Coturnix japonica: one gene and its partners. The protein of the gene in region 1 purifies or fractionates together with the protein of each later gene. This does not show direct contact. Links are inferred from orthologs where the notes say so. Each region holds a gene or a part of one and is shown on either strand. Other genes may lie near its edges.

Region 1 (4,131 bases):
TAAAGGAGGAGGCGGCGGCGGCGGCCGAGACCGAAGAACGCTCCTCCGCGAGGGCTGCTGCATCGAGCGCCCGCACATCGATTGGAGCCGACTCTTAGGGGAGAGAACGGCGGCGTCACGTCACCGGTGACGCGTTAAGGACGCGACGGGCCGCTCTAACAGGACCCCTGCCTTGTTAAAGGACCCCCCGCCCGGTGGGGAAGGGGCGGGCTGCAGAGCGGAGCCCAGCGGGGATCCCGGGATCCAACGCCCCCTCCACCGTGGCTCGGACCCGGTTGCAGCCCGTGGGGTGACGTGTCGGGCAGGGCACAGCCTCGAGCAGGCCCAGGCGGCCCGTAGACACACAGAATGACCCGGGTTGGAAGGGACCTCAAGGATCACGTAGTTCCAACCCCCCTGCCTGGCAGGGCCACCAAACATACACCTTTACTAGATCAGGTTGCCCAGTACCGCCCCGTGCTGCCCATCGGAGCGTAGAGCTGCTATGAGCACCGCAGCTGGGGGCTGCGAGTCTGTGTTTGGGCTACAATACCCGCACGGTGCTGCCGGACACCGCAACACCTGCCATGGGGCACCACGGCACACAGGCCTCACGAGTGTTTAGGGCCGCCAGCTCAGCCAGCTCAGCCCCTTCCATGTCCCACCGCCACCCAACCCACAGCCCCGTGCTACTCACGTCAGCCTCCAGAAACGGCAGCCGTAGCGGCCGCGGGTCGAGCAGCGGAGCTGCCATGCTCCCCATACTCCCCATGCCCCGCGGCAGCTGCCGTCGGTCACACGCTGCAGCCACGCGACGACCGGACATCTTCTTTTTCCCTATGGTGTCCCGCTTGTCGACACCAACACACCGGGACCGCCCTCGAGCCGGGTCGTTAAGGACGCGGAGCCGCTGATAAGTTGCCTTCAATACCTTCAATCGCTTCTTCAGGCAGCGGGTCCCTCAGTGCTGTGAGACAGAGCAGCACCACGAGCCGCTCCGCAATGCACGAGCAGCACCGGGCGCTGTGCAGCCAACAGCCGGGCGTCCCCTCGTGCTGAGCTGGGTTGGTGCCCCCTTAAGGCTCGTTAAGGGCACGTGGAGCAGCGCCGTGCGAAGCTGAGGCCTGATGCTCCTCCTGCTGCTGCCCGTCGCACCTCAGCACACAATGGCCCCCAGCTCCCACTCGGCTTCACGCGAGGTGGCAGCGCCGCGTCTCCCTCAGCCCCAGGTGACGCTGAGGAGGATCGAGGTGTGAGCCCGGCTGGATGCAGCACTAACCTGGAGCCCTTCACCCCCGAGGCCTCGTTGAGCGGGAGTTGTAGCGCTGCCACAGGTGGGTGGGCTGGACGTAACGCGATTTGCGTAACGAGAGACCGCGGCCGGGCTGAGACTTACGGAGAGAAAGTGTGTGAGCTCGATCCACGCACTTGGAGTACGGAAGAAACAAGCGGCGGACAGACGGTACGTAAAGTACGTATGTAACGTAAACGCCGCCCAAAGGGTGGGCGGGTCGGGACGACGCGGGTACGCAGCGGGCCGCCGTTGCGCATGCGCACCGCAAGCTCACGGCGACGAGTCTAGGCCTCGCGACGAGCGGGGAGTCAGGAGAGCCAATGGGAAGGCAGGTAGACTGAAAAGCGGCCAATCGGAGGGCGCGGATGCCAGGAGAGGAGCCAATGGCGAGGGGGCGGAATTTTAAAGGCTATTTAAGGGAGGGAGGTTTGAATTCAAACAGTTGTAGCGGCCGCGGGCCGAGGTGAGTGTGGGGACGGCTGGGCCGGGTCGGGCCTCGCGTGGTGCTGTGCTGTGGCCTTACCTGCGGCCTTACCTGCCTCGAGGGCGGCCCAGCCGGCGTGTGGTGTGGGTACGGCCCGGCCGTTACGGAGCTGGGGCGGGCAGGCCTAGGGGGAGGCCTAAAGTGAGGCCTAGGGGGCAAAGGGAGAGCAGCACGTCCGAGGAGTGGCGCTGCTTGGAGGCTCAGCCCTGTTCTCTGTTTCATTCTCCATAGGTGAAAGTGTATCTTGCTTTTCTCGGGCACTATGGACAAGAAGATAAAAGAGAACTGTCCTGGGAACCCTTCTCGTGTTATTAAGGTGAGAGGCTTATCGAGTTGATGGGGGTGACTGAGCTTCTGGCTGCTGTTATTAACATCCAATTATTTAATTGGGAAGTCCTAGTAGTGCAGTTTTTATCCCTAATCAACTAATAAGACAGCAAAAACATACAGGCTGTGACTTGCAAAGGACGTGCTGCCTGAATGTTGTATATCTTTGTGCATGCCTTAAGATTACATATCTTTGTATACAGAAGCACGGACATTCTTTTCTTCTAATTTAAGTATAAACAGGTCCTTGTCAGGTTTTAAAGTAGTAGAAGCATGGTTTAAAATCAGCTTTCAATGCATTGGATCAAAAAAAAAAGGAGAATATAAGTCTTCCTAGAGAGTGAAGGCATCAGTAACAGATCATTAGCATTTGAATTTAATTCTAGAGCAACTAAGCATTACTTAAATATTAGTTTAAATTTCCTTCCTCGACTGAAAGAAAAGGATTAAAAGTAGGTAAAGGAACTATCCTAAACTTGGCTTTGTTCTGATGAACTCCTGTAGTAGCGCAAGGCATCTTAAAATACACATCACTCAAGGGAACAGTGACTCAAAGCATTGTATGTGAACAGGATTCCTATAGTAAAGGCTGGTCTGAGCTTTCCACTGTTATCTACACTTTGGTGGCTCTGTGTCTAGTTATGAATAAGTATGTTGTTAATAAGACAGTAGTTTTCTACAAGTCAATTCAATTCTTAAAAAATAAGATCAGAGTAATTTTAACATCTTCTTTTAATATACTGGTTTTTTTTCTCCTCCCTATCTTTTTCTGCAACCTGTACCTAACACTGTTGTACAGGGACATAAAGGTTATAGTGTTCTATTCTATTACTAATGTGCAGTTGTTGTTTTTTGAAGGCAGCGAATCCAGTTGTGGATGGCCCAAAACGTGTCCCTGTGTCTCAGAGTTCTGCCCAGAGCCAGCCACTGAACAGTGGAGTTCAACTGCAACGTGTTCTGTGTCCTGCAAATTTTGCCCAGCGAGTTCCTGTACAATCACAAAAAAATTCTTCACTGTCAAACCAAAAACTGTCTAACAATCAGACAACACAGCAGCCCCGACCAAAACTTCCAGTCCAGCCAACTGCTGGGCCTCAGGTTCCAAGCAAGAGCAGTGAAAAACCTCAACAAGCTCCTGGACCTGGTAATTCCAAAGATGATACATTTCTGTGTTTGTGACACTCAGGAGAATTCAAACAAGAGTGCAGGACAGAAAATGTAAAGCTCACACTAACGACATGTTGGACAGTCCTGTAGAAGAATAGATGGTTGCACCCAGAAAGAGAAAAGCAGCACATACTTCATCTTAGATATTACTGTACTGTCCTTGTTGCTAGAGTTAAGGATTTAGAGGAGCTAATAGAAGTGTTCCTCCAGTCTTGAAAATTTACAGATGCTCATTAGTCAACTTTGAATACATGCAATTGGTATCCCTGCATCATGTTTTTTTCCAGTGTTCATGGTAATCTGATACACAAGAACACTGTATGAGCAGGAGGGAGAAGACTTCTTAATGTTTTCATGAGTTTCAAAAAAGCATTTGAAGTTACACTTTGATAAAGTAGCTCTAACTGCTTTGCTGCTTTGCCACTGGTAAGCTATGCTAGGTTTTAAATACAGAGGATAGACAGTAAATTGCTGTAGATACTACCCAGACTTATTCCTTGTGAATGTTTTGCATTCGCTGGTGGTTTATAGTTGTTCTATTTGATTGTATACAGCAAAGAGTTCTGAAGCAGACAGTGTCTCTAAACAGAAAAGTGAAGAGCCTACTAAAAAGAAAAAGGAAGACACTAAAAAGTAAGTTGCGGGCCTTAAAAACTTACAGCTGTTAGTTGTGCTTTCAATGTCTAGCAGTTCATGCTACAACTGAGTTGCAGCCAAGCTGCTGCCTACTTAAGCCTCTTGATTGCTAAGAACAGTGGCCTTCATAGAGACAATGTTTATTAATGAAACTCTGGGAAGGGTTACTTTGCTTTGGTAATCTTTAGGAACAATAAATTACTTTAATCTGAAGGAAAGCTTTTGGCACAAAAAGGAGCAACTT
Region 2 (4,058 bases), on another chromosome or scaffold:
CCAGCTTGCTCCCGTCCCTAAATGCAGAGGGAGCAACCAGCAGGTTACGCTGTACCGAAGCCCTGGGTCTCCAGGATTCAGTTTCCTGAAGTAGGTCACATTTGATCTCCTTCCAGGCACACTGCAGAGGTAACTGCTTAACAGGGAGCCTTCAAAAGTCATATTCTGCTTCCTAATGCTGCCAACACCTGCCCTTCAGAAATGCAGCCATACTGACAGAACAGTTTTTCATTGATTTTGGGTATAAACAGGCCAGGAATCCTGTTTTTCCCTTCAGTTACCTGTATTTCTCCTAAATTTCCCCAGAAGGTACATATTGACTTTCAGGCCGCATTTACATTCAGATGATGGCTTGTTGTTGGAAAAAGTCCCTTCAGAGGGGCTCATTAACTTCCTTTCAAATGTTTTCTGGCCCCAACCAAGGGAGCAAACTAGCAAACAACTCACCGTGTGGCTTCTATCTGAGCTTAAAGACACGGGATCCTGCATTTGTGTTGTTCGTTCTAATGCCACTTCCAGCTTCAGCACGGCTTAATGACAGACCGGAGCCCATCTGCTCCAATGACTAGCTTTGGACTCAGAGGGAGAGCCCTGAGGATAATTTAGGAGCACATTTTATAGTTAGTGTAACTTCATTCCAGACCAAGGCAAACATGAGCAGGTGGAAATATCTCTCAAAAGCACAACCTGACCTACATAGTGCACTGTAAATTAAAGAGACGTATAAAAATAAAGCATTGACAACCCAGCACGTTCGCAACAAGACCCAGATACGGGCCTGCAAGCGCTCCATGCCACCTGCACATGGCTGCCATTCTGCAGTGCCTTTAAGCCGATCTGCACTCTTGTTCCTTCTGCTTTATCACTTTTCTCCCCACTGCTGTGCACTTTCTGGCTCGCTGTTCTCCATTACTTCATGGAGGAGCTGCAAGCTGCTCAAGGCGATTTGTCCAGCACATTTACAGACAGCAAGGGGCCACATGAATCCTTGTAGCCAAGGCCCAAAATGGCACAGAAGCAATGGCAGCACACAGGCAATGGGTTTCCAGTTGGGTATGTAGCTCCAAGAGCTCCTGTGGGGTTAGGACCACCATGGCTCCCATCACCCCAAGGCAGCTGCAGTCACCTGGGGGGGCTCGGTTACCTCAGGGGTCACGGCCATCTTAGGGCTCCGACGTCACAACAGCACATCCAGCCAGCACTTAAAAGGCCCACAGGGTTATAAAGGGGGATAGAGACGAACTCCTCCCCTGTAGGAGGGCTGAGGGCCCGGCAGGAGGCGGCTCCCGGCCCCGTCACCTGACAGGAGGCGGCCGGCACCGCCCCGCTGGGGGGAGGCAGGCGGCGTCGGGAGCGCGCTCGTCTCGCCGTGCCCGCGTCCCGTGCGGCCGCCATGTTGTGCTGAAAAGCGGCGGCGGCGGCAGCCAGGAGCCCGGCGACCCCGGCCCAAGGCAGGACGCCGCGCCCCGGGACGGGGTGTGGGGGCTCCGCGCCATGCCTGGCCCCGAGGTGAGGAGCCGCTGAGGGTCCGTGAAGGGGTTCGGCGCCGCGTGGGGGGATGCGTTGGGCCGGGGCCTGGCGGAGGGCGGCCGGGCTGTCACGGAGGGCCGCGGCCCGGCACGCCCCCTCAGCTGGGGCGGCTGCGCTGCGCTCCCTCGGCCGGGGGCTCGGGGCTCGGTGCGGGGCTCCGTGTGGAGCTCGGTCTCCTCTTTCTCCCCACGGGGCCCGGCGGCCTCGGGAAGGTGACGGTGCAGGGCCGCGCCGGGCTCTGGCCGTGCCCCGTGGCCGCCTCTGTGTGCCCGTACCCCGCGTTGCCTGCTGTCCCGGCCCCGAGCTCAGCCCATATCGGTTGCGTACAGCTGCTTGGGTCTGTGCTCCCACTAACGAGGTTGTCAGGGCTTTTCTATTGCTTACGGTGCGTGGGGGCTTTAATCGAGCTTCTTCCCCGTGTTTTTCTTAACAGTCCCGTTCCTCTGGTGGGATTTGAACAGATGTTGCCCTTCTCTGGTGAGTACGGTTCCATGCCAACCCTCCTGACCCCAAACCGTGCTGAAGTTTCTGTGTTTTAAGGGAAGCTCAAGGTTTGCGTTGTAGTTGCGTTGTCCCTCCTTTTAGGGAATGCTGCTTTACCAACCTCAGATTCCTTTGCATCTCTCTGTAGAAGTAACTGATGATCATTATGGCCCTTTGCAACCCAGACCATTCCATGATTCCATGGCTGTTTCATTCCTTGCACCCCTCCCTTACTGGGTGAGGGCTGGGCACAAGCTTGTGCCTCGCACAGGCTGAACATCTGGTACCTGCTTCTCTCCTGTCTGTGCACTTCACCTGCCTGTTTTCTGGTGTGCTGAGCCCATGTTGCCATGTGCAGTGAAGCTTTTTCTTAGCAGAGTTTGTCTAGAGAATCACATGGAGTAGCATGGAGTGATGATTGACTTTATGGTGGGAATAAAAGACTATTTTAATTGCCCATTGACAGGGGATGGTTGTGTGACTGAGGGAGCTGTGGCAGGTTTTGTGCAATACCTGCCATGTTTGAAGCTTTAGATAAAGGGCTGAGGGTGCGTCTGGTCTGTTAGTAAAACCTGTTGTAGTACTGAAAATCCTTTGTGGTAGAGGATGAAGGGGAGCTTGTATGAGTGAGTTTATAGGTAGAGGAGATGTGACATCTAGTATCTGTGTTGCTTTGCATTAGTGATCATAGTGGTTTTTAGAAGACAGAACAAGTACTTTCTTTCGTAGTACAGGAAATGCTGTGAGCTCAGAGTGTTGAAATCATTGTCAGATAAGTAAAGGTGGGGCATAGGCTTCTGAAATGCTGCACTGAGAGGTTTCTCTGTGCTTGCTTTGGAGTTGGGGGAGAGGCAGGTGGGCAGGGAAAATGTTAAGCAGCAGGTTTGTTGGCAACTGTGCCCAAAGGTCTTTGAGTCCTAAAGATTATAGGAGTGATATCTTGAGACAAGTTAGTTTTCTGGCTGGTAGTATTATTGGTGCTTATTTAGGATTTTGCTAATGTCCTGCCATTAACTGTCTGAACTAGAAATTAGCCAAGTGTTAGCCTGCTTAAGAAACCATCGGCAAGGCCAGCTTGATAAGCTCTTGATTTTCCCATTAAAATGGCTGTCTGCACCAGAAGGAACCAGAAATGCAGCGTGTCCAAGCTCCTGAAGGTAGAGAGCACAGCACTTTATCTGAGATCTCGTTCCACCTACATGCTGTGCAGGGTGGTGGAGAGAAGTGTGTTGTCAGCCCTTCAGTAGTAGGAGATCTGAGCAGTGCTTGGCTGACAATTAATGTGTCCAAATGGAGTAACGTAAGGAGAAGAGTATCAGTGGGCTGCTGGAGAGCTGGGAAGGAGCCTGATAAATCTGCTGGAGTGCAAGGAAGGAGTCATTGTCTGTGGAGTGAATTGGAGGAGCTGGGTTAGCATCCAGCATGTGGGGTCTTTTCTGCTGTGGAAGATAAAAGGTTGTTCCTGTTCTGGTAGCTCTGCATGGGGTTGTGTAGCTGGGTATGATCATGGGACTCTTCTGTTTGGTGCTGGTTGTTTGTTAGAGCCTATGACTGCAAAGAGTACAACAGTGCTTATCAGTTACTGTGAGCTAGAATGGAAATCCCAAATAATTGAATGTGATCTTATTTCATAGCTACTTCTATTAACCAGATCAAATAATATGAATTGTTTCTTTCAGGATGAGCTTCCAAGCACTGAATTGTCTGTGCCTCTTTGCTGTAATGTACAACTGTTCTGCATGTGTACCCAGCTGAAGTAGCTGGTAAAGATCTGCCTATTAGGTCCCATATGGGTTTTATGTCTCTGGGACATGAGCTTCCTTTGTAATTCTATCCTTCTAGATATTAGTGCCATAACTTTCCAGTGCTTTTAGGAAAGCTTTGGGAATATGCCTAACGTGCAGATCATTCTTGTGATTAACGGAGGTTTTTAAAGACAGCTGTTCCTTTATCTTTGTGGAGCTGTGAGATCACAGGGTGACTGAGCAGTTTGCATGGAAGATATGAAAGGGAATTTAGTGCTAATTTAGGATTTGAAATACAGA
Region 3 (3,500 bases), on another chromosome or scaffold:
TCACTTAAGACCACCGGGAGCCACGGTTGGAATCACACAGCCCTCGTGTTCATCCCGCCTTGATTTAATCACACACAGCAGATATAGCAGGGAGAAAAGTGGGGCCTTTGCCCTGTGTTTGTCATTTCAGGTGGCCTTTGAATGTCAAATTCATGTTTAAATGCTTGTAAAGTCCATTATTGTCATTCATTGTCACTCCAGCATTGGTCAGTACTGCACTTGGGGGTCTCAGCCCTCACACTGTTAGAGTTTGGAAGGCAGCTTCCCTTGCTTTAAAGGCTCAAAGAGGTGGTGAAAGGCTTCGGATCATTCAAGAAGGTGGAAGCTAAGACTTAATAACAAGAAAACCCAGAAATGGGTATTTTTATGATTAAAAGCAGCTGTTGAATGTGACTAATAACCCAAATGCGTCTGCCCGACAGGCAGGAATGTGTGGAGCAACTCCTGAAGAATATGTTTGATGGAGAGCAGACTGAGAACTGCATCGTGAATGGGACGCAGGTTCTGCTGACATTGCTGGAGACGAGGCGCTCTGGGTAAGTCAACACGCTTCGATCCTGAATAGAAGGGTTTTAGCTATTCAAATCTGGTTTGTAATGAAGGATATAGCAAAGGTGAAGGTCTGGGGAGGGAGATGCTGAGAATCTCGCTTTCTTCTTTTAAAGGAGGAAATAGGAAGAGTGAAGGAGGCGATGGGAGGTTGGGGAGGGTTAGAGGGAGGAACTGACAGGAGATGGTGTTGGGTCGTTGTTAGGCAGCTGTGCATGGTTCATAGAATGGCCTGGGTTGCAAAGGCCCACAATGATCATCCCATTCCAACCCCCTGCTATGTGCAGGGTCACCCACCAGGCTGCCCAGAGCCACGTCCAGCCTGGCTTTAAATGCCTGCAGGGCTGGGGCATCCACAACCTCCTTGGGCAACCAGTGCATCACCACCCTGGGTTATGGCTGAAAAGCTGAGATGCTGCATCTCCTGTGCCTTGTGCCCTGCATCTCCGAGGGCTAATGACTTCCAGATATAGAGGTGCCCGTGTAGGTTGTTGGTGCTTTGCTTCAGTGCAAGCATTTCTCTTATTCCAATGTGAGACTGTGCTGTTAGAAGGGTCTGCTGATAATGCACTGCTAACCAGCAGAGGTGTGAGCCCAACTGCCCCCTTAGTATTATAGTGCACTCATTAGTGGCTTTAACAAACATTCAGTGGCACAATTTACTCCTTAAACATCTGTAAAGCTGGTAAGCACTGTAGTAATTCATCTTTGTCAGCCCCGCAGACAGCTTCTCCTCTGCCTTCCCACTCATTCACAATTATGATGATGTGAATATCATCTTGCAATTAACATAATGAGATGATGATGTAGTTACCTTCCGTGGCTGTCAGTGATCGTTCTTCACGTTCAGAGTTCTCTTTCAAGAGGAAATAGCCGATATGGGCAGTGTGAGTGGAGACCTATATGAGGTTTGGCCAAGCCCTGATTTGCGTGTTTTCTTTGTTGCAGGGTGGAAGGACTGATGGACTCATACACTCAGGGATTTGAAAGGTCTTACACTGTCAATAGCAGCATCTTACACGGCATTGAACCCAGGCTAAAAGATTTCCACCAGCTGCTGCTCAGCCCTCCCAAGGTAACGTGGCTCAGCCTTCCCCAGGAGCAAACAGCTGCTGGATGGATGGGGGGGGATTCCTCATCCTTATTTATGGGTTTTGTGAGGACTTTCTGAAAGCACCAAGTGTTGGCAAGGCAAACTCTACCTTAAATCTTTACAAGAAGGATTCACGCTTCAGGTTTGTAATACGAGTGCTTAGGAAGTTCAGGCAAAGTGTGAGGTTTTGGCAATTTGGATGGAGGAATCCCAGGTATATATAGAGACTGGGAGGAGCAGAGCTTGAGAGCAGCCCTGCAGAGAAGGAGCTGGGGGTGCTGGTGGCTGGAGAACTGAGCAGCAGCCAGCAGGGTGCTATTACAGCTTGGAGAGCAAATGGCATCATGGGCTCCATCAGCAGAGGGTAGGGCCAGCAGGGACAGGGAGGGATTGTCCCTCTCTGCTCTGCCCCATCTGCAGCTCTGCATCCAGGTGTGGACCCCTAATGTCCCCAAGATGGACAGGGAGCTGTTGGGAAGGGTCCATTGGAAGCCACAAAGATGCTCAGAGGGCTGCAGCACCTCCCCTACAAAGACAGGCTAGGGAGCTGGGGTGTGTTTCAGCATGGAGAAGAGAAGGCTGCGGGGTGACCTCATTGCAGCCTGCCAGGACCTGAAGGGAGCCTACAGACAGGAGGGGAGTCAGCTCTTTGAATGGGGGGATAACAGCAGGACAAGGGGAAATGGTTTGGAGTGGAAGGAGGGAAGATTGAGGTTGGATGTGGGGGGATATTGTTGATAGAGAGTGTTGGGTGCTGGACCAGCTGCCAGAGAGGATGTGGATGCCCCGTCCATCCCTGGAGGTGTTTAGTGCCAGGTTGGATGGGGCCCTGGGCAGCCTGGGCTGCTGTTCATTGTGGAGGTTGGTGGCCCTGCATGTAGCGGGGGGTTGGAGCTTCATGATCCTTGTGGTCCCTTCCAACCCAACCATGCTGTGGGTGAGGGGGGCACAGAGGAGGGAACACAGAGTCAATGGGTGTTTTGATCTTATGTTTGGGAAGTTCAGACCTCACAGCGCTCTCAGGTCACTGCTGAGTGGGAAGACACCATAGTTTTGCCTGCATGGAGTATTTATGTCTGAAGATGAGATGGTTCTATTTAATCAACCAGTTGTATGTCTGCAATGGGGGATTCATTGACCTTCACTGAGGTTCTCCACCATTTCTCCTATAGAAAACAGCGATCCTGACCACAATTGGAGTCCTGGAGGAGCCGCTGGGCAACGCTCGTCTTCACGGCTCTCGCCTGATCGCTGCTCTGCTCCACACAAACACTCCCAGTATTAATCAGGAACTATGCAGACTCAGTACCATGGATTTATTACTTGTGAGTAACACTATGTGGCACTGCAGGGGGTGGGGGTGGGGAATGGCTTCAGGCTGAGAGTGTCTTCGCTTTCCCTGTTGGGCACAGTGTGGTTTGTGTGCAGGTCACGTTATGTCCATATCCTACTAAAGGATACCAAGCAATTAATAGGGCAATGTTCTGACATCATTTGATTGCCAGAAGTGGGATGATGGATCCAGAATGACTTTCTTCTTGTTTCTCTTTTTGTTCCAGGATTTATTTTTTAAATACACGTGGAATAACTTTTTGCATTTCCAAGTGGAATTGTCCATAGCAGCTATTCTCTCACACTCTGTGCAAGAGGGAAGAACTACTGCCAATGACCCAGAAAGCAGAGAAGAGGTGCTGAATGGAAACGTGACCACAGAGAACCAAGAAACTCCAGAGAACAACACGGAGAATATCATGGTTACACATGTGAGTCAGGTCACATCGGCAGGGAATTCAGAATCATAGAATGGCCCAGGTTGGAAGGGACCTCAAGGATAACAAAGCTCCAACAGCCCATCACA
Region 4 (4,154 bases), on another chromosome or scaffold:
GCCTGCACTGCCCACGCCTTTCAATCCCTCCTGAATATGCTGCAGAGGAGCAGAGAACAACACACTGCATGAGGCAGGGATTCATCTTAGGGCCGGTTCAGAAGCCTGGGAAGTTCAGTGGGTCTGAGCCTCTTACTATGTTGCAAAGTAACAAAAATTAAGTCAAAGCTAGTATTTCTTCTTCCAAATCATTAGACAAGTATTCTACACAAAGCCTAGTAATTCTAGTTAGTCTCACTGCATTACACTTTTTAAACACAAGGTGTGCATTATCTCACTTGGCACTTTATGAGGGGAAAAGAGTATGTCACGAGAAAACCTCCCTCACCTCCACACCAACTCAGTCCCCTCACAAGGGAAGTTCCTTAATCCACTCGTCACTACAGTAAAGTCAAACACTTCATCTCACACCTGCAATTATGGGACGCAGCACAGGACGGCATCGTTACCTCATTTGTCACCTTAGCACCAAACAGCCAACCCGCCCCTCGCGGACTGATGGCCCACGTATCCACATCTTCTGGATCAGACCAAACCAGGTCACAGAAGGCGCCTTTATGAGGAATTTCTTGATTACGTTCAATGGTGCGAATCTGATCGAGTGTCTTGATGTCCGGAGACAATCCACCGTGCACACAGAGAATCTGCTCATCTATTAGCTGGAGAGAAAAAGGAACACAAAGAATGCTCAGTATTTCAACCAAACCAAGAACCTCTCCAGCACCACCCTCACCACCACCAATTCTTCAAGTTATATTTAGACAATCTACCTGTATCTTTTTTAAGGTGTTTACACTTACAGCTGCTATTGTGAGCATGTCAAAGACTTTGGTGCAGTATCTCCAAGCATTAGCATTTCCGTATTTGGTTTGGCACTCATCTGTTAAATAGAGAATTTTTTTCTTCTTAACAGACCAGAAGGAATTCAGGCAATATGATCAGAGTCAAACAGAACAGAACCTAAAAAGGCAGATGTAAACCAAAAAGCAAACAGACAAATAAAAAACAGCTGGGAGCAACCGGTGAGCACTGGCTGGAAAGCACTGCTCACTGCTTCTGTGGTCCACCAGCAGGGAGAGAACCTCAGTATCTACTGCTGTGTCTTCAGCAACAGACAGAGGAAAAAGCAACACGACAGACAGCACCTCAGCATCTTCCCACCACTGACTGCCTGGGAACAGCCCCCCTGCTCACCCAGCAGTGTTTATACTCTACATTTCATGCAAGAGAAGTGAGGCAGAAACAGTGAACCCATCAGGGCTAATTAGAGACCTTTTCACTACAAATAAGTGTTACAGTAGCTTTGTTTGTAGCTATACAAACACATCAATAAAACTGATGGACAAATTTTACTTTGGAGCTTCACGAGGCTTACAAATGTTTATATATGCTCTTGTTGACACACTATATCATGTTATCCAGAAGAAAGCAAATTACAGCCTATATATGACAATGCTTTTCTCAGTTATACCTAAAGAGAATTATGTAGAATCTTTTATTTAAAGATACCAAAGCATATCATCAAAAAATGCAAAGAAAAACTGAGATGCTGGAGGAAAAGATGGTCTGGAGATGGACTAAAACGCTTTTACTTCTTGAACACAACAGTGTTAAATAACATTTGAGACCGTTTCCCACCCAGTTCAAGTAAAGCCCCACTTAACAGTGCACACACAAAGCCGATTTCAAAAGGGAAATAGGAGGTAGTTGTTGATGGCATGCTGGCCCCCATTCAGAAATCACTTGGGTAAAGTCTTACCATAGAATCCATACACTTGTGTTATCTGCCTGCTTTCATGATTGCCTCGTAACAGCGTGATACGATCGGGCCATTTAGCTTTTAGTGCCAGAAGGTAAGTGAAAGTCTCAAGACTATAGTAACCTCTATCTACAAAATCGCCCTGCAAAGTCAAAACAGAATTATGAATGAAGAAACAGCAAAAAGGAGAAATGCAAAGTGACACATCCACCTTTAACTCCTCATTGCACAAAGGAACCTGACGCTGAAGGGAGCCAAGCGGTGAGAACGAGCTCAGCTCCCCAGCAATGGTTCACTCACCCCTGCACGGGACGCCCGGCTCTGCCCGCCCTGCAGCCGGGGGCAGCACAGGGGTGGGAGGGCAGAGCGCTGCCACCAGGGCCGGCACCCAGCGCAGAACCGGGACCAACACGGCGCGAGGAGCAAAGCGGCACCGGCACGTACATACCATGAAGATGTAGTTGGTGTCGGGCACCTGCCCGCCGGTCCGGAACAGCTCGCACAGGTCATAGAACTGCGGGAAGGGGCACGAGTCAGCGCGGGCGGCGGCACCGGGCACCGCGGGGCGTCCCGGCCGAGCAGCGCGGCGTGTCCCGTTACCTGCCCGTGGATGTCCCCGCACACGGTGACGGGCGTGGAGACGGGCTGCACGTTGGACTCCTCCAGCAGCAGGTCGCACACGTAGTCACACAGGCGCTGCGGGAACACGGCGGGTAGCGCCACCAGCAGCGCCGGGGTGTGCACCAGCACCACCAACAGCACCGGACAGTATCGCTATCGCTATCGCTATCGCCATCGCCATCGCTATCACTATCGCTATCACTATCGCTATCGCCATCGCTACTACAACCACCGGCACCGTCCACCGCCGCCCGTCCGACCCCGCCCCCCCCCGCCCGGTCCCACCTTGAGGTCGTTCTCGGGCAGGTACTTGCAGAGCCGAGCGATCTCCACGTACTTGTCCAGGTCCAGCGGCGCCATCTTGGGACGGCAGCTCGGAGCCGGAAACGGAGCTCTCCACTTCCGGGAAGCGGCGCGAGACTCGGACGCCAGCGGAACTTCCGCGAACTTCCGGCCGCGCACCGGAAGTTGGCGGCGGCCGGAGCCGTGTGGGGCGGGCGGAGCTCGGCCCGGCCCGGTCCCGCCATGGGGCCGCTGCTGCCGCCGCTGCTGGAGCCGGGCAGCCGCCCGCGGGCGGGCAAGTGGTGAGCGGGGGGCGGGGCGGCGCGGTCCCGGCCGGCTCTCGGCCTCGGCTGAGCGCCGCCCGTCGCTTCCCGCAGGTACCGGCTGGCCCCGCGCGGTGAATGGCCCCGCGGGCGCGTGGGTCACGGCTGCGTGCTGGTACCGGGCGGGTCGGGCCGCGTGCTGCTCCTGGGCGGCGCCGACCCCGCGGGCGCTTTCGCGGACGCGCACTTCGTGGAGCTGGGTGAGGGTCGGGTCGGACCGGGCGGAGCCGCTGCCGTTCCCCGTTAACAGCCCCCGCTGCCGCCGCCGTTCCCCGCTAACGGCCCCGCCCCGCCCGCAGACACACACCGCTGGGCCCCGGCTGCCTGGAGCGGGCTGCGGCCGCGCTACGAGCACGCCACGTTCCTGCCCGCCCGCCTTCCGACGCGACTCTGGGTGTTCGGCGGCGCGCACCCGGCCGGGAACCGGAGCTGCGTCCAAGTGCTGGACCCCGGTGAGTGCCGGCACCTCGTCGGATGCCGGACCTCGGTGGAGCGGGTGTCGGGCCGGGCCGGCGGTGCGGAGCGGCCCTTCAGACCTCGTGTATGCTTTATTAATTGAATGTCTTAATTAGAAATAGGAACCTGGGAGAGTCCCGAGGTGACGGGTGTTCCGCCACTGCCCAGGACATTCCACACCTCCTCAGCAGCTCTAGGGACCTGTCTGTACGTCTTCGGAGGTGGAGACAAAGGAGCGGAGCCGGTTAAAGACCAGCAGCTTCATGTCTTTGACACAGGTACCTGAGTGTGTCGTGAGCTGTACCGGCACTGGAAGTAACCGCCCGCTGTTCTGAAGTTCTGCCTCCCAGATCTCATCAGCCTTGGCTGCGAGTTTCAATGGAGGGCTGAAGGTTGCTGAGGGCTGAAGGTTGCTGCTGACATGTGCTCACCTCTGTATTGCAATGGGGAACTTGGGCCAAAGTGGCAGTATAATGATTTGGGACAGGAAATGCTGTGAGACTTCTCATGACCTGTTGGTATTATTCTGTCTGTTCCTATAGTCCTGCATACCCCAGGAGGGAACCCCAGCGAGACTCGGGGGCTGCTGGTTTGTAGAGCTGACAGTTTTCCTCATACACACACATTCCCATTTTTCAGATGCTTTGACATGGACCCAGCCTGGCACCCACGGTGACCCCCCTTCTCCTCGGCACGGACATGTCATAGTTGCA
Region 5 (3,500 bases), on another chromosome or scaffold:
CAGTTTTACCCTTATGTATTCTTGGCCAAGCTCAGATCTTCATAACTCTCTCTTTTACATGCTTCACTTTGCGTCAGGTTCTACCATTTGGAATGTCCCACTAATCCTAATGAAAATACTAAGTGCGAGACACCCAGAGCTCTTACTGATATGTCTAAATTGTCTGTGAACTACATTGTGAACTGAACTGATAGTGTCCCTGCACCAAGTATTATTTGTTAGTTTATTCTGCAAATTAAAGTTATGCTGACCAATCCACAATTCTCCAGTCTCCCATCCTTGAATAAAGAGAGAAATGGTACCTGCCATCTGAAGCCTTGTCTGTCTTCCATGACATCTCAAAATAGCATCAGATGTCTCTAGGATTGTCTTCAAACAACTTTGCTGTACGTGTGCATTTTCTCCATTCTAGTGGAAGTTCGTATCAGTTGTCACTGGTGTTAGCCTACACTCAGATGGCTGAGGACTGAAGCAAAAAGAAAACTTAAATAGCCTTAAATAGCCTCATCTGGTGTTTCTTTCTCTTCTCAATCAGCTTAAACAAGCTTCTAAAAAATCTTTTCTCCTTCCTTCCTTTTTTTTTTTTTTTTTTTTTTTTAATTAATTAACCAAAATGGCCTTTTTACCATCTGTGACAGCTCTTGTTAGTTCCGTCTTGTTTTGCGCTCTGCTTTTCTGATTTTGTCCCAGCGTACTCCTTTGTACACTTCTGTTGATCTCATTTCTTCTTTTATACAATTCCCTATACTTCAACCAAGTAGGTCTTGGTAATTTACTGCATTTCCTATCTTTCCCTCAAACAAGGATAGTTTGTTTCTCTAAGAAGGTGCCAGCTCTCCTGAACTCTTCTTCTCCTTAGAGATGCATAAAAACCTCATGGGAAGGAAGTCTCAGTTTATTAAGTATTCCTCCTTGAAGCCCTCTGTTTTTATTCTTCCACTCTTTTTCCTTCCTTTTGTGGGAACCCTGACTCATGGCGTCATCGCTCTCACTCAGGTTACTTTTCATCTCCATATCCTCTACATGTTTCATCTCTTGGTCAGAAGTATCCAATCTCTTCGCTGATTTCTCTGTGTGTTCATCTTCTACATATTTTTACTTTGTATCTTGGTACATGCCCAGAAAATCCAGAATCTGAACATCTGAGTCAGCATATCTACTTTTCCCAGCAGTGAGTAGGAAGTTAAAAAGTTCCTTGTTGCACATGATTACGCCGACAAAATGTTTGACCCAGCATTTTTCAATTTCTTTCCTTCTATTTTCCTGTATTGTTTTTATGTCTGTTATTTCTTTTCTCCAGCTTAAAGTCCCTCTGACTTGTGGAAAAGCAGGTTTGGCTGTTAACTTATTTATTAGGACAACAACAGCCTCTTAGTGCTGTATGCTGCAGCAGACAGGATTCTGTTCTTTTTAAGAGTTGTATTTTATTTGAAAGACCAGTGGTCCAGTGCCCTCCTCTTCAGGCTGAGTACCCCATAGGTTGTGTTCACAACTGGAAATGACACTGCCATGAATCACCAGCTCCTGTATCAAGCACAGCCATATATCTATGAAGACTGAAATGCAATTTCCAAATATATTACACATACCTAATGTTAACTTTAGTGAATTAAATGCTTAATAGCCCCGCCTTCATAGAGAGCATTGTAAGATCCTAATATAATCGTTTATAACAGATTTACCTTTCTTGTAGTTCGATGGTATCCATGTGGTGAGTGGATCTCTTGACACGTCCATCCGAGTTTGGGATGTGGAGACCGGAAACTGCATTCACACACTCACAGGCCACCAGTCTTTGACAAGTGGAATGGAACTTAAGGACAATATACTTGTGTCTGGGAACGCTGATTCTACAGTCAAAATCTGGGACATTAAAACAGGACAATGTTTACAGACATTGCAAGGTGAGCTTAAACTACCATGATAGAAATCAAGCTGCCTGCAGTAATCTGTGCTGCAGATCCTATATAAAACCTTCTAACCATTTCATACAAAGAAACAATCGTGGACCATTTACAACTTAAATATCATTTTTCTGATGACAGCTGTATGATCTTCCTCTGAATTAGAGGAATTTCATCTAATCTATTCAAATCACTTGCCTATTATGAAAGGCAGATGGCCTGAACCGAGAGAAATTTGCAATGAGTGTATTAGCCTAATAAGCCACAGAAATATGTAGGAAATGACATCTCAAAACAGCCAGTCAACGTTTTATTTAGGGGTCACTTGGATGTTTCAGAGCCTACTGATTAATTGGATTGGGAGGCAAAAGCACACTGTCTATTGCAATAAATCAAAAGAAAAGATTGGAAGAGAGTGGAAGATGTTTTCACTTTCTCAGTGAGAAGAAAGATTTTGGTTTCCATTTTTACAGTTGCCACTGACGCATCATGCACACCAGCATGTTATTTTGTTCCCTCTTCAGAAAAAGTCATTTATCATATCCAGCAATGCTGGCTGCAGCAGAAAGTTAAACTTCACTGGAAAAGCAGGCTGCTGTTTTAACAGTTTATATGTATCTGTATGTCCCTCAGTACTTACTGGTAGAGTAATCCCATAATAACACTTCAAAGGGACTTGGAGAAAAACATGCATTGTGGTCACCTCATTTCTGCATGGCTAAGTTCATTCTCATGAATTTCCAAGTATGCACTTGTCCTGCTGTGCGTATGCAACAAAACAAGATCACTGTAACAAAGAAGTATTTTGGGGGAATTTCACGCTTTGAAAACAGAAGGCAAGGTTCTGTACCTTTTAAAGCACAAAAACAGGGATAACACATCTAAGAGAAACAGCTGTGCTCAAGTGGATGGGTATTTACATTATATACAGCGCTGTCTGTCACTGCTTTCCCGTTAGAAACAAAAATGTTCTGGTTTGCTCTTCTAGGTCCCAACAAGCATCAGAGCGCTGTGACCTGTTTACAGTTCAACAAGAACTTTGTAATTACCAGCTCAGATGATGGGACTGTAAAACTTTGGGACTTGAAAACGGGTGAATTTATCCGAAATCTAGTTACATTGGAGAGCGGGGGAAGCGGAGGCGTCGTGTGGCGGATCAGAGCTTCCAACACAAAGCTGGTGTGTGCCGTTGGGAGCCGGAACGGGACTGAGGAAACAAAGCTGCTGGTGTTGGACTTTGACGTGGATATGAAGTGAAGGGCAGAAAGATGAATTTGTCCAAACGTGTAGGCGATGTTCTCCTTTCCCTCGCCCTGAGAAAAAAAAATAAAAGAAGAAAAAAAAAAAAAAAAAAAAAAAAAAAAAAAAAAAAAAAAAAAAAAAAAAAAAAAAGAAAAAGGAAAAAAAAAATCCCTTGTCCTTGGTGGTGCAGGATGTTGGCTTGGGGCAACAGATCCTAAAGACCTACAGACTACGAAGGAGAAGACAACGATAACAAACTCTAACTGACAAGAGAGGCATTCGCTGTCTCGTCACATAAAATGGCAACACCTTCGACCGGGGCAGCTTTGCAAAACTTCTGAAATGAAACCAGGT
Region 6 (3,357 bases), about 3.0 Mb from region 1:
TTTAGGGCAAAACTTTGGGGGAGTGTCTTTGTTTTTAGTGCTTTTAGTTTTTTTTGTTTTTCAGTGTTAGTGTAACACTGCTTTCCTCAGGTTCTGTTTGCCCATAGAGCATTTCATTGTATTTCAAAGGGCTGAGATCTGTTCCACTGGAGACCAATGGATTTTGTATTATCTTAATGGGTTATTATTCGTATCTTAAACTTGTTAGCCCTGACTTAGGGTTACTGTGATTCACGTCAGGTTTTTGTGCTCGTTCATTTCTTGTTACTAGCTGATACCACAAGAAAACTTGTCTTAAGGCTTCAGCAGTGCCCTTTTCGGTGACTAATGACCAATACTTTGATTCATTAGGTGAAAGAGGGGAAAATTTTTGAGGAGGTCACCGTGGGGGTATCGCAGTTGGCCAGCAAGGTATGGAGGGGCCTGCTTCCCTTGGAGGAGGCCAAGCAGTAAGCCAGTCTCCATATTCTTATACAGCACTTTGAATGACCACTAAACTTCTTTAGTCTCTACTTGCGGTGAATAGAAATGCAATTTCCAACCTGCAGTATTTGGGGTACTAAAAGAGCTCTACAGCTTTGATGCAGTCCTTTAATGGCTTCACTGAGGGCACGTTGTAGGGCTGTGAGACAACCAATGTCCTGAACACACAAAGAAAACCTCTGCTGGAGAATATGGAGACAGCTTGCATTGTGTTTGTGTGGTTGAACTTAACTAACGTTGCATACCTTTTTCTTTGTCTTCTTTTGCAATCGTTGCTTGGTTTTGTGGTAAGTGCTCTCTGTGCCTGCTAGGTGCAGAAGTCTTGCAGAATCAGTGTTACTTAGGAGGGTTTGTTTGTCTATTAAGTGCTTCAGATCTTATCATATAACAGCTCAGTGCCTGAAGTGCTGGGAATATTTGAATAAAGCAAGTTTTGTGTTACTTGGTCTGCTTAAAGCCTGGCAACTTGAAATCTGAGTTCTGGGGTTCCTCCTCCATGTCTGTGACTTAGAATAGTGACTTCCATAGGTGTCACTTGTGTTTCTAACTAAATGCCAGTCCAAAATAATAACCCTGAGAGTGGTCAGTTAGCCATACTTGCTCTAGAACTCAACATTTGTCCTGTTCGCATGAATAATACTAGTAAGAATGAGTGAAAGCAGTGTATTAAGTATTAGAGATGTCAATACTAGTCATGTGAAGCATCCAAAGAGTAGTGCTGTCATTAAATTCAGTTTCACGTGAGTATTCCCAACATTTTTGTTACGGAGTTCTAGAAGGCAATACATACAAAAGCCCTTTCTTAAAGAAGTAGATTAAAATGCTGAACTTTATGTACTTCTCATCCAGCAGAGTGGGGTTGTTAAACGCCTTTCCTTTGGATCAACTAGAAATTGCTCATCAAAAGTGTTAATTTTAATCAGTGTAGTGAAATTTTTCATAGTGTGTTATCTGTATCTGAACAAGTGGGAGAATGGGTTATGTTGGCTCAGTCCAGATGAGAAGTGTGTTCTTTCTGCCTAGGTTCAGGGAGTTGGGAGTAAGGGATGGCGAGATGTCACCACTTTCTTTTCTGGGAAACCAGATGATCATTCTGAAAGGTATTTCTTTTTTGTTATTATTTTCTGTCTCTTTAAACACCTCATTTTGTCCCCTCCGTGTTCTCTGCAGTGCAGAGTACCAGATATTCTTTGTAAATGTGAAGAAATTATTCTGTCTTTGGGGGGATAAAATTGCAAGTAGTCCTTCTCTAAAGTAGTTTGGGGGCCCATAAAGCTGTTCTCAGTCTGAGAGCAAAGTAGTGCTCTGCACCTTGATGTTTAAGTGATGCCAAATGCATCAATGTCTTTGTATTGTAGACTGTTAGCACTACATTTGAATTAGAAGAATAAATAGTGCTGTTCTGAGAAATGCATCAAATTCTTTTGCCTTTTGTTTTTGTTTCAGCAAAGCGTAACATTATTGTTTTCCTTGTGGTCGTTCCTGTTTATTGTTGTGTTTGTTATAACTAATTTATTTCTCCCTTCTTCTTTCTCCTTGCCTTGCCAGTAACAGACCAGCTGAGGGATGCAGCTACCAGAACAGTGGAGAGGAGGGCTACCAGAACAATGCTGTAGATCAAAGCTTCTGGGAGACCTTTGGCAACTCAGAGCCACCGAAAGCTCATAAATCTCCAAGCAGTGAGAGCTGGACCTATGTGGACAATTCCACAGAGAAGAAGAGCTCCGATAGCTGGGACGTGTGGGGCTCAGGAACAGTCTCCAACAACAAGAACAGTAACAGCGACAGTTGGGAAAACTGGGAGACCAACTGGGAAAACACAGGAGGGGAGAGCAAGGCCAAAAAACCTTCTAAGGCAACAAAAAAGGCATCTTCAGCTGATGATAAGTGGGATGACTGGTAGAACTGTTAACTTTGTTTTGGTGCAGCTAGGAAAGGGAGACCACACTGGCTGATTGAGAGGAGAAAGTTTTGCACCCATCTGGAGTATCTTGGTTGACTTTACTGATGTGTTACTTTCTGTGCTTTTTCCATTTGTTTTCCTTCTGCCCCAGTCTAGGAAGAAAAAACAAGTAGTGTCTGAATCTTTTATTACATGAAGATGGTTCTCTCGTTTTTATGGGTAGTGAGAAATATATCTTCTCCTTGCACTACTGAGGCTGGGTACACTGACTTTAAGAGCGATCTGAAAGACACGAGCACGTTTTAATGCCATAGTCTTGCATGTGTAAGCTCATAGGTATTCATCCAGCCTTCATATTATTTGAGATGACCAGAGATGTTTAACACAAATAAAGAACAGGCTGTATCTTGAAAAGGCAGCCTTTAAACGAACAAGCTGCAGTTGAGTAGATCCAGCTGAAATGCCTTATGGATTGCTGTGACTGTACGAGGTCTGGCAATTCAAACTGGTCTGTAAGGTACTTTTTATTGGAGCTTTGTTTTTAATCTTTGTGAGATTTTTAGATTTATTTTCTCCCCTTAGAATTAATCAGGAGTCTGGAGGTAGACGATTATCTGTTCCCACTCATCATTTTGGCAGCCTGAGCTATCAAGGGATATTCAGAATGGCTCCTTGTGCACTGTGTAAATTCTTAACCCATCAAGCAAGAATAGCAGCTCTCTTACACAGATGTGATGCAGTGCTGTCTGTCCTCCTTCTTTGCCTTTACCCTTCTCCCGCTCTAAGTATTTTGTAGGGTCTGCTTTGTTTTATTTTTTTATCTTTTTTTTCTTATACCTATCTGTGTTATCTATACTGACAAAAATGAGATCTTCCTGCTGCTTATGGCCTTCTGGACATCTGTTTGGCAACTCAGCAGTGAAATGAGTTAGTAAAAAGATTCCAGTAAGAAAAAATGCATGGAAAATATG
Region 7 (3,500 bases), on another chromosome or scaffold:
TTCTTCTTTCCCTATTTGTTTGTAAACCAAAATTATCAATTTCAGACCAAAATAAAGAGTTTTATATGCCAAGTGGCAGACTAGATTCCTCGTGATCTTAGATTTAAATCTCATTGTTTATCTATGGATCTAGAAATCTCATTTCACTATGACAAATTATTGTTGAAACATCCTAATAAAAGTTGGTATTATTACGTTATCAAACATTAAGATATTTCCTGTAGCAGAATGGTTTTAATTTATCAAATAGCAAATTTCCAAACAGCAAGGAGGAAAAAACCAACAATGTAGTTTTATTTAGCTTGTGGTCATAACTTATTCGAAGTTAATTTTATGTTCTTTAAGAAAAAAAATAATAATAATCTCTTTCGGGGTTAATTTTCTTATTATTTCTGAACTAATGAAAAAACAACTGTCAGAATTATATCCTGACTCATTTAATTACCAAGCATTCTCATCACTTAATTTTTTTCTTTTTTTCTGTTTTTGTAGTGTGAGAGGCAATGTGCAGGCGGTGTTAGGGTAGGTTACTTAGCTGTCCTGTTTCTTAGAGTTATTTAACTTGTGAATGAAATTGCAGCAAAAAAATGCAGTTTATCGTTTTATAAATATTTGCAAGGACGGTCACTGAACTCTTAAATGAACGCTTCTCATTTGTGTTTTAATGGCAGGTGGGACAGGTGATATTTGATAAGAAGTTAGCTCTAGTTCTAGGTGGTTAGAAAACTTGCACTGCTACTAGTGTCTAGAATAAATACTTATTCAAACGTTGCAATTTTCACTGAACAATTAAAGTTAGTGAAATCCCTGCTTTGGACACATGAAATGGGTATTTACAACAGCAGAACTTTTTTGGTAAAATATAGCTGGGTTGTGAGTTTCTATAGCCATTCCCTCTCTGTTCCACCGCCTTTCCTAGACCTGGCTAGGGCTGTCACATTATGTTGAGGAACGTTCTGATCCAGTTGGTCAGTGGGTGGTTTCAGGGGTTTCCTGGTGGGTGCACCCTATAGCTGAACATCCACAGCTCTCAGGACTTGTATATTTGGCCCAAATAGAGGGGTCCCCAGTTTTTAGCATCTGGTTCACAGATTCGCAAGATTAGATAGCTGAGACTACAGCTATAGACTACATACATAGACTGGGGGCAGATACAGACTACAGCATACCATACATAGATTGAGGGCAGATATAGGCTGTTTCACTTGATTCAAAATGGTGTTGGCTTTCAAGATCCAATCCAGAAAAGCACTTTGAATCTGATCTTGCTCCGATCAAATTCAGTGGCAGAATTCCCATTGACATCAGTGATGCTGGGTTGAGCCTGTGAATAGTCCTTTTGATATAGGAACGGCTACTTATGCATTTAGTTAATATGTTAAAGTGCTTTCCTGGATTGGGGCCACAGCAAATTGTACAGCATCGTATCTCTTGGACATATCTGTGTTCAATTTACAATTTACTTCAGCATGCACCAATTTGTTCCATGTGAGGAGAGAAAAGATATGAGACATCATTACTTTTATTGTTGTGGATATATGATTATGTATTAAAAACGGTGACAAATGTAAATTTAATTAAACAAGTTACGGGTATAGTCTGCAAAAAAAAAAAAAAAAAAAAGCTATGCACTTGCCTAAAGAATAGGATTAATACTGGTTGCCTTTGCACTGCATCATTATTCTATATAATGATTTAATGTGCAGGTTGCTGTTAAGTACCAAACAAAATTCTGTGTTGCGTAACTGTGTCATTTATCTGCTTTTCCATTCTTAGACATTCTCTATTGTAGTCTTGGTGATGCAAAACATTTGAGAAGCTGGAGAGGTTTCATATGTGTTAAAATTACATGTTATTAATTTGTTTTTCTTCTGCTTCTAAGCAGATCACTTACTGAACTCCTATCACAGACGATTAGAACAGTGTCCCACACGTGCATTTAATTCTTGCCAATCTGTTATTAGACTCTTCTTTTGGTCTATAAGAATTGCCTACTCTGACTAAATTTTAATTCGTTTGCTGAGTAGACTACAAGTTATTTGCAACTCAACTGTATTTGAGAGCATAAATAAATATATTTTGCTGCTTTATGTAATGATTATTGGAGCGCTTAGAGTTTAAGAGGCTGTTTAGTTTTCAACATACAAATATGCACTTAGTGTTTTTTTATAAGTCAGTTTTGTGTGCACTGAATAAAAATATCAGCATGAGTTCCTATGAAACATACCATGTGTGGTATGTAAAACATACAAAACCTTTATTACTTAACCTGTAGTAGTGTATTCCAAGACAATTATTCTAGACTTAGAATGCTAGTATTAATTGAGGTTATATTGTGTATCTGATTAGACAATATACTATCAACTAAAAAAGTCAGGCTTATTAGCATATACTACTCATATCCTATTCTTATGACAATTATAGAATAAAATACTATTTTCCTCTTCAGTAGCATGATTTTTTTTTTGTGTGTTCTTTCATAGACAAAGGAGAATTTGTTGGCTAATGGTAAACTTGACTATGATGATGATGATGAAGAAGATGAAGACCTAATGTGGAGGTTGCCCAAGGAAGAAACAGACTTTGAAGATGATTTTTTGGAGTATGATCAAGAGCATATCAAATTCATAGATAGCATGTTAATGGGATCGGGGGCTTTTGTGAAGAAAATTTCTCTCTCTCATTTTTCAACCACTGATTCAAACTATGAATGGAAAGCACCCAAAAAGTCATCCCTGGGTAACGTTCCGTTTTCATCAGATTTTGATGATTTTGACTATAGCTCTTGGGATGCTATGTGCTATTTGGATCCTAGCAAGGCTGTTGAAGAGGATGATTTTGTAGTCGGCTTCTGGAATCCATCAGAAGAAAACTGTGGTGTTGATGCAGGAAAGCAGTCAATCTCATATGATTTGCATACAGAGCAGTGTATTGCTGACAAAAGCATTGCAGACTGTGTGGAAGCCCTGTTGGGCTGCTACCTGACCAGCTGTGGTGAAAGAGCTGCTCAGCTTTTCCTGTGTTCACTGGGGCTGAAGGTGCTCCCTGTTATTAAAAAGACTGATTGGGAAAGCACTCTGTGTGCGACTGGAGAGAACTGTAACAGTGAGCTGAAGAATCTTTCACCAAACTCTGTTTCTACTTGTATAGTTAATTCAGAGCCTTCTCTTTATAAAGACCTGGAGTATGGTTGTTTGAAGATCCCACCAAGGTGTATGTTTGATCACCCAGATGCTGAAAAAACCCTGAATCACCTTATTTCTGGTTTTGAAAACTTTGAGAAGAAAATTAATTACAGTTTTAAGAACAAGGCGTATCTTCTTCAGGCATTTACTCATGCCTCGTACCATTATAATACCATTACTGGTAAGTTCCCTTAATGAAAAGTGTTTTCTCTTGCATAATAAATGTAAGATAGGTAATCTGATTTAGAAGGGGAGTACTTGTTGAAGCTATATCTTAATGATTATTCATATTTTTATTTTTTTTTAAATAAAAGG

The links.
Region 2: the proteins of AURKA (region 1) and MTMR3 purify together in Homo sapiens (affinity purification with mass spectrometry; 3 studies listed by BioGRID and IntAct, counting the BioPlex papers as one, with this or other methods). This does not show direct contact. The link is inferred for Coturnix japonica from reciprocal best matches to the Homo sapiens genes AURKA and MTMR3.
Region 3: the proteins of AURKA (region 1) and PPP6R2 purify together in Homo sapiens (affinity purification with mass spectrometry; 4 studies listed by BioGRID and IntAct, counting the BioPlex papers as one, with this or other methods). This does not show direct contact. The link is inferred for Coturnix japonica from reciprocal best matches to the Homo sapiens genes AURKA and PPP6R2.
Region 4: the proteins of AURKA (region 1) and PPP6C purify together in Homo sapiens (affinity purification with mass spectrometry; 4 studies listed by BioGRID and IntAct, with this or other methods). This does not show direct contact. The link is inferred for Coturnix japonica from reciprocal best matches to the Homo sapiens genes AURKA and PPP6C.
Region 5: the proteins of AURKA (region 1) and FBXW7 purify together in Homo sapiens (affinity purification with western blotting; 5 studies listed by BioGRID). This does not show direct contact. The link is inferred for Coturnix japonica from reciprocal best matches to the Homo sapiens genes AURKA and FBXW7.
Region 6: the proteins of AURKA (region 1) and ARFGAP1 purify together in Homo sapiens (affinity purification with mass spectrometry; 3 studies listed by BioGRID and IntAct, counting the BioPlex papers as one, with this or other methods). This does not show direct contact. The link is inferred for Coturnix japonica from reciprocal best matches to the Homo sapiens genes AURKA and ARFGAP1.
Region 7: the proteins of AURKA (region 1) and DICER1 purify together in Homo sapiens (affinity purification with mass spectrometry; 4 studies listed by BioGRID and IntAct, counting the BioPlex papers as one, with this or other methods). This does not show direct contact. The link is inferred for Coturnix japonica from reciprocal best matches to the Homo sapiens genes AURKA and DICER1.

What each region holds. Positions count from the first base shown.
Region 1 is NC_029535.1:10,854,595-10,858,725, forward strand, and holds the start of AURKA (aurora kinase A), read left to right. Parts: upstream 1-1,331; 5' UTR 1,332-1,441; exon of another isoform or gene 1,442-1,450; intron 1,451-1,649; exon of another isoform or gene 1,650-1,736; intron 1,737-1,988; 5' UTR 1,989-2,019; coding exon 2,020-2,073; intron 2,074-2,942; coding exon 2,943-3,228; intron 3,229-3,805; coding exon 3,806-3,884; intron 3,885-4,131. Other genes in the region: CSTF1 (cleavage stimulation factor subunit 1), read right to left, coding at 1-93, 677-805. UniProt on the Homo sapiens protein: Mitotic serine/threonine kinase that contributes to the regulation of cell cycle progression.
Region 2 is NC_029530.1:9,814,988-9,819,045, reverse strand, and holds the start of MTMR3 (myotubularin-related protein 3), read left to right. Parts: upstream 1-1,258; 5' UTR 1,259-1,509; intron 1,510-1,963; exon of another isoform or gene 1,964-2,007; intron 2,008-4,058. UniProt on the Homo sapiens protein: Lipid phosphatase that specifically dephosphorylates the D-3 position of phosphatidylinositol 3-phosphate and phosphatidylinositol 3,5-bisphosphate, generating phosphatidylinositol and phosphatidylinositol 5-phosphate.
Region 3 is NC_029516.1:601,906-605,405, forward strand, and holds part of PPP6R2 (serine/threonine-protein phosphatase 6 regulatory subunit 2), read left to right. Parts: intron 1-422; coding exon 423-536; intron 537-1,497; coding exon 1,498-1,624; intron 1,625-2,814; coding exon 2,815-2,967; intron 2,968-3,201; coding exon 3,202-3,405; intron 3,406-3,500. UniProt on the Homo sapiens protein: Regulatory subunit of protein phosphatase 6 (PP6). May function as a scaffolding PP6 subunit. Involved in the PP6-mediated dephosphorylation of NFKBIE opposing its degradation in response to TNF-alpha.
Region 4 is NC_029532.1:8,073,149-8,077,302, forward strand, and holds the start of PPP6C (serine/threonine-protein phosphatase 6 catalytic subunit), read right to left. Parts: upstream 2,801-4,154; 5' UTR 2,741-2,800; coding exon 2,666-2,740; intron 2,456-2,665; coding exon 2,360-2,455; intron 2,274-2,359; coding exon 2,208-2,273; intron 1,902-2,207; coding exon 1,760-1,901; intron 881-1,759; coding exon 801-880; intron 660-800; coding exon 450-659; intron 1-449. Other genes in the region: RABEPK (rab9 effector protein with kelch motifs), read left to right, coding at 2,906-2,964, 3,040-3,185, 3,285-3,437, 3,558-3,719, 4,081-4,154.
Region 5 is NC_029519.1:29,730,621-29,734,120, reverse strand, and holds part of FBXW7 (F-box/WD repeat-containing protein 7), read left to right. Parts: intron 1-1,693; coding exon 1,694-1,904; intron 1,905-2,892; coding exon 2,893-3,161; 3' UTR 3,162-3,500. UniProt on the Homo sapiens protein: Substrate recognition component of a SCF (SKP1-CUL1-F-box protein) E3 ubiquitin-protein ligase complex which mediates the ubiquitination and subsequent proteasomal degradation of target proteins.
Region 6 is NC_029535.1:7,887,193-7,890,549, forward strand, and holds part of ARFGAP1 (ADP-ribosylation factor GTPase-activating protein 1), read left to right. Parts: intron 1-351; coding exon 352-411; intron 412-1,506; coding exon 1,507-1,583; intron 1,584-2,031; coding exon 2,032-2,386; 3' UTR 2,387-3,357. UniProt on the Homo sapiens protein: GTPase-activating protein (GAP) for the ADP ribosylation factor 1 (ARF1). Involved in membrane trafficking and /or vesicle transport.
Region 7 is NC_029520.1:41,567,211-41,570,710, reverse strand, and holds part of DICER1 (endoribonuclease Dicer), read left to right. Parts: intron 1-2,483; coding exon 2,484-3,366; intron 3,367-3,500. UniProt on the Homo sapiens protein: Double-stranded RNA (dsRNA) endoribonuclease playing a central role in short dsRNA-mediated post-transcriptional gene silencing.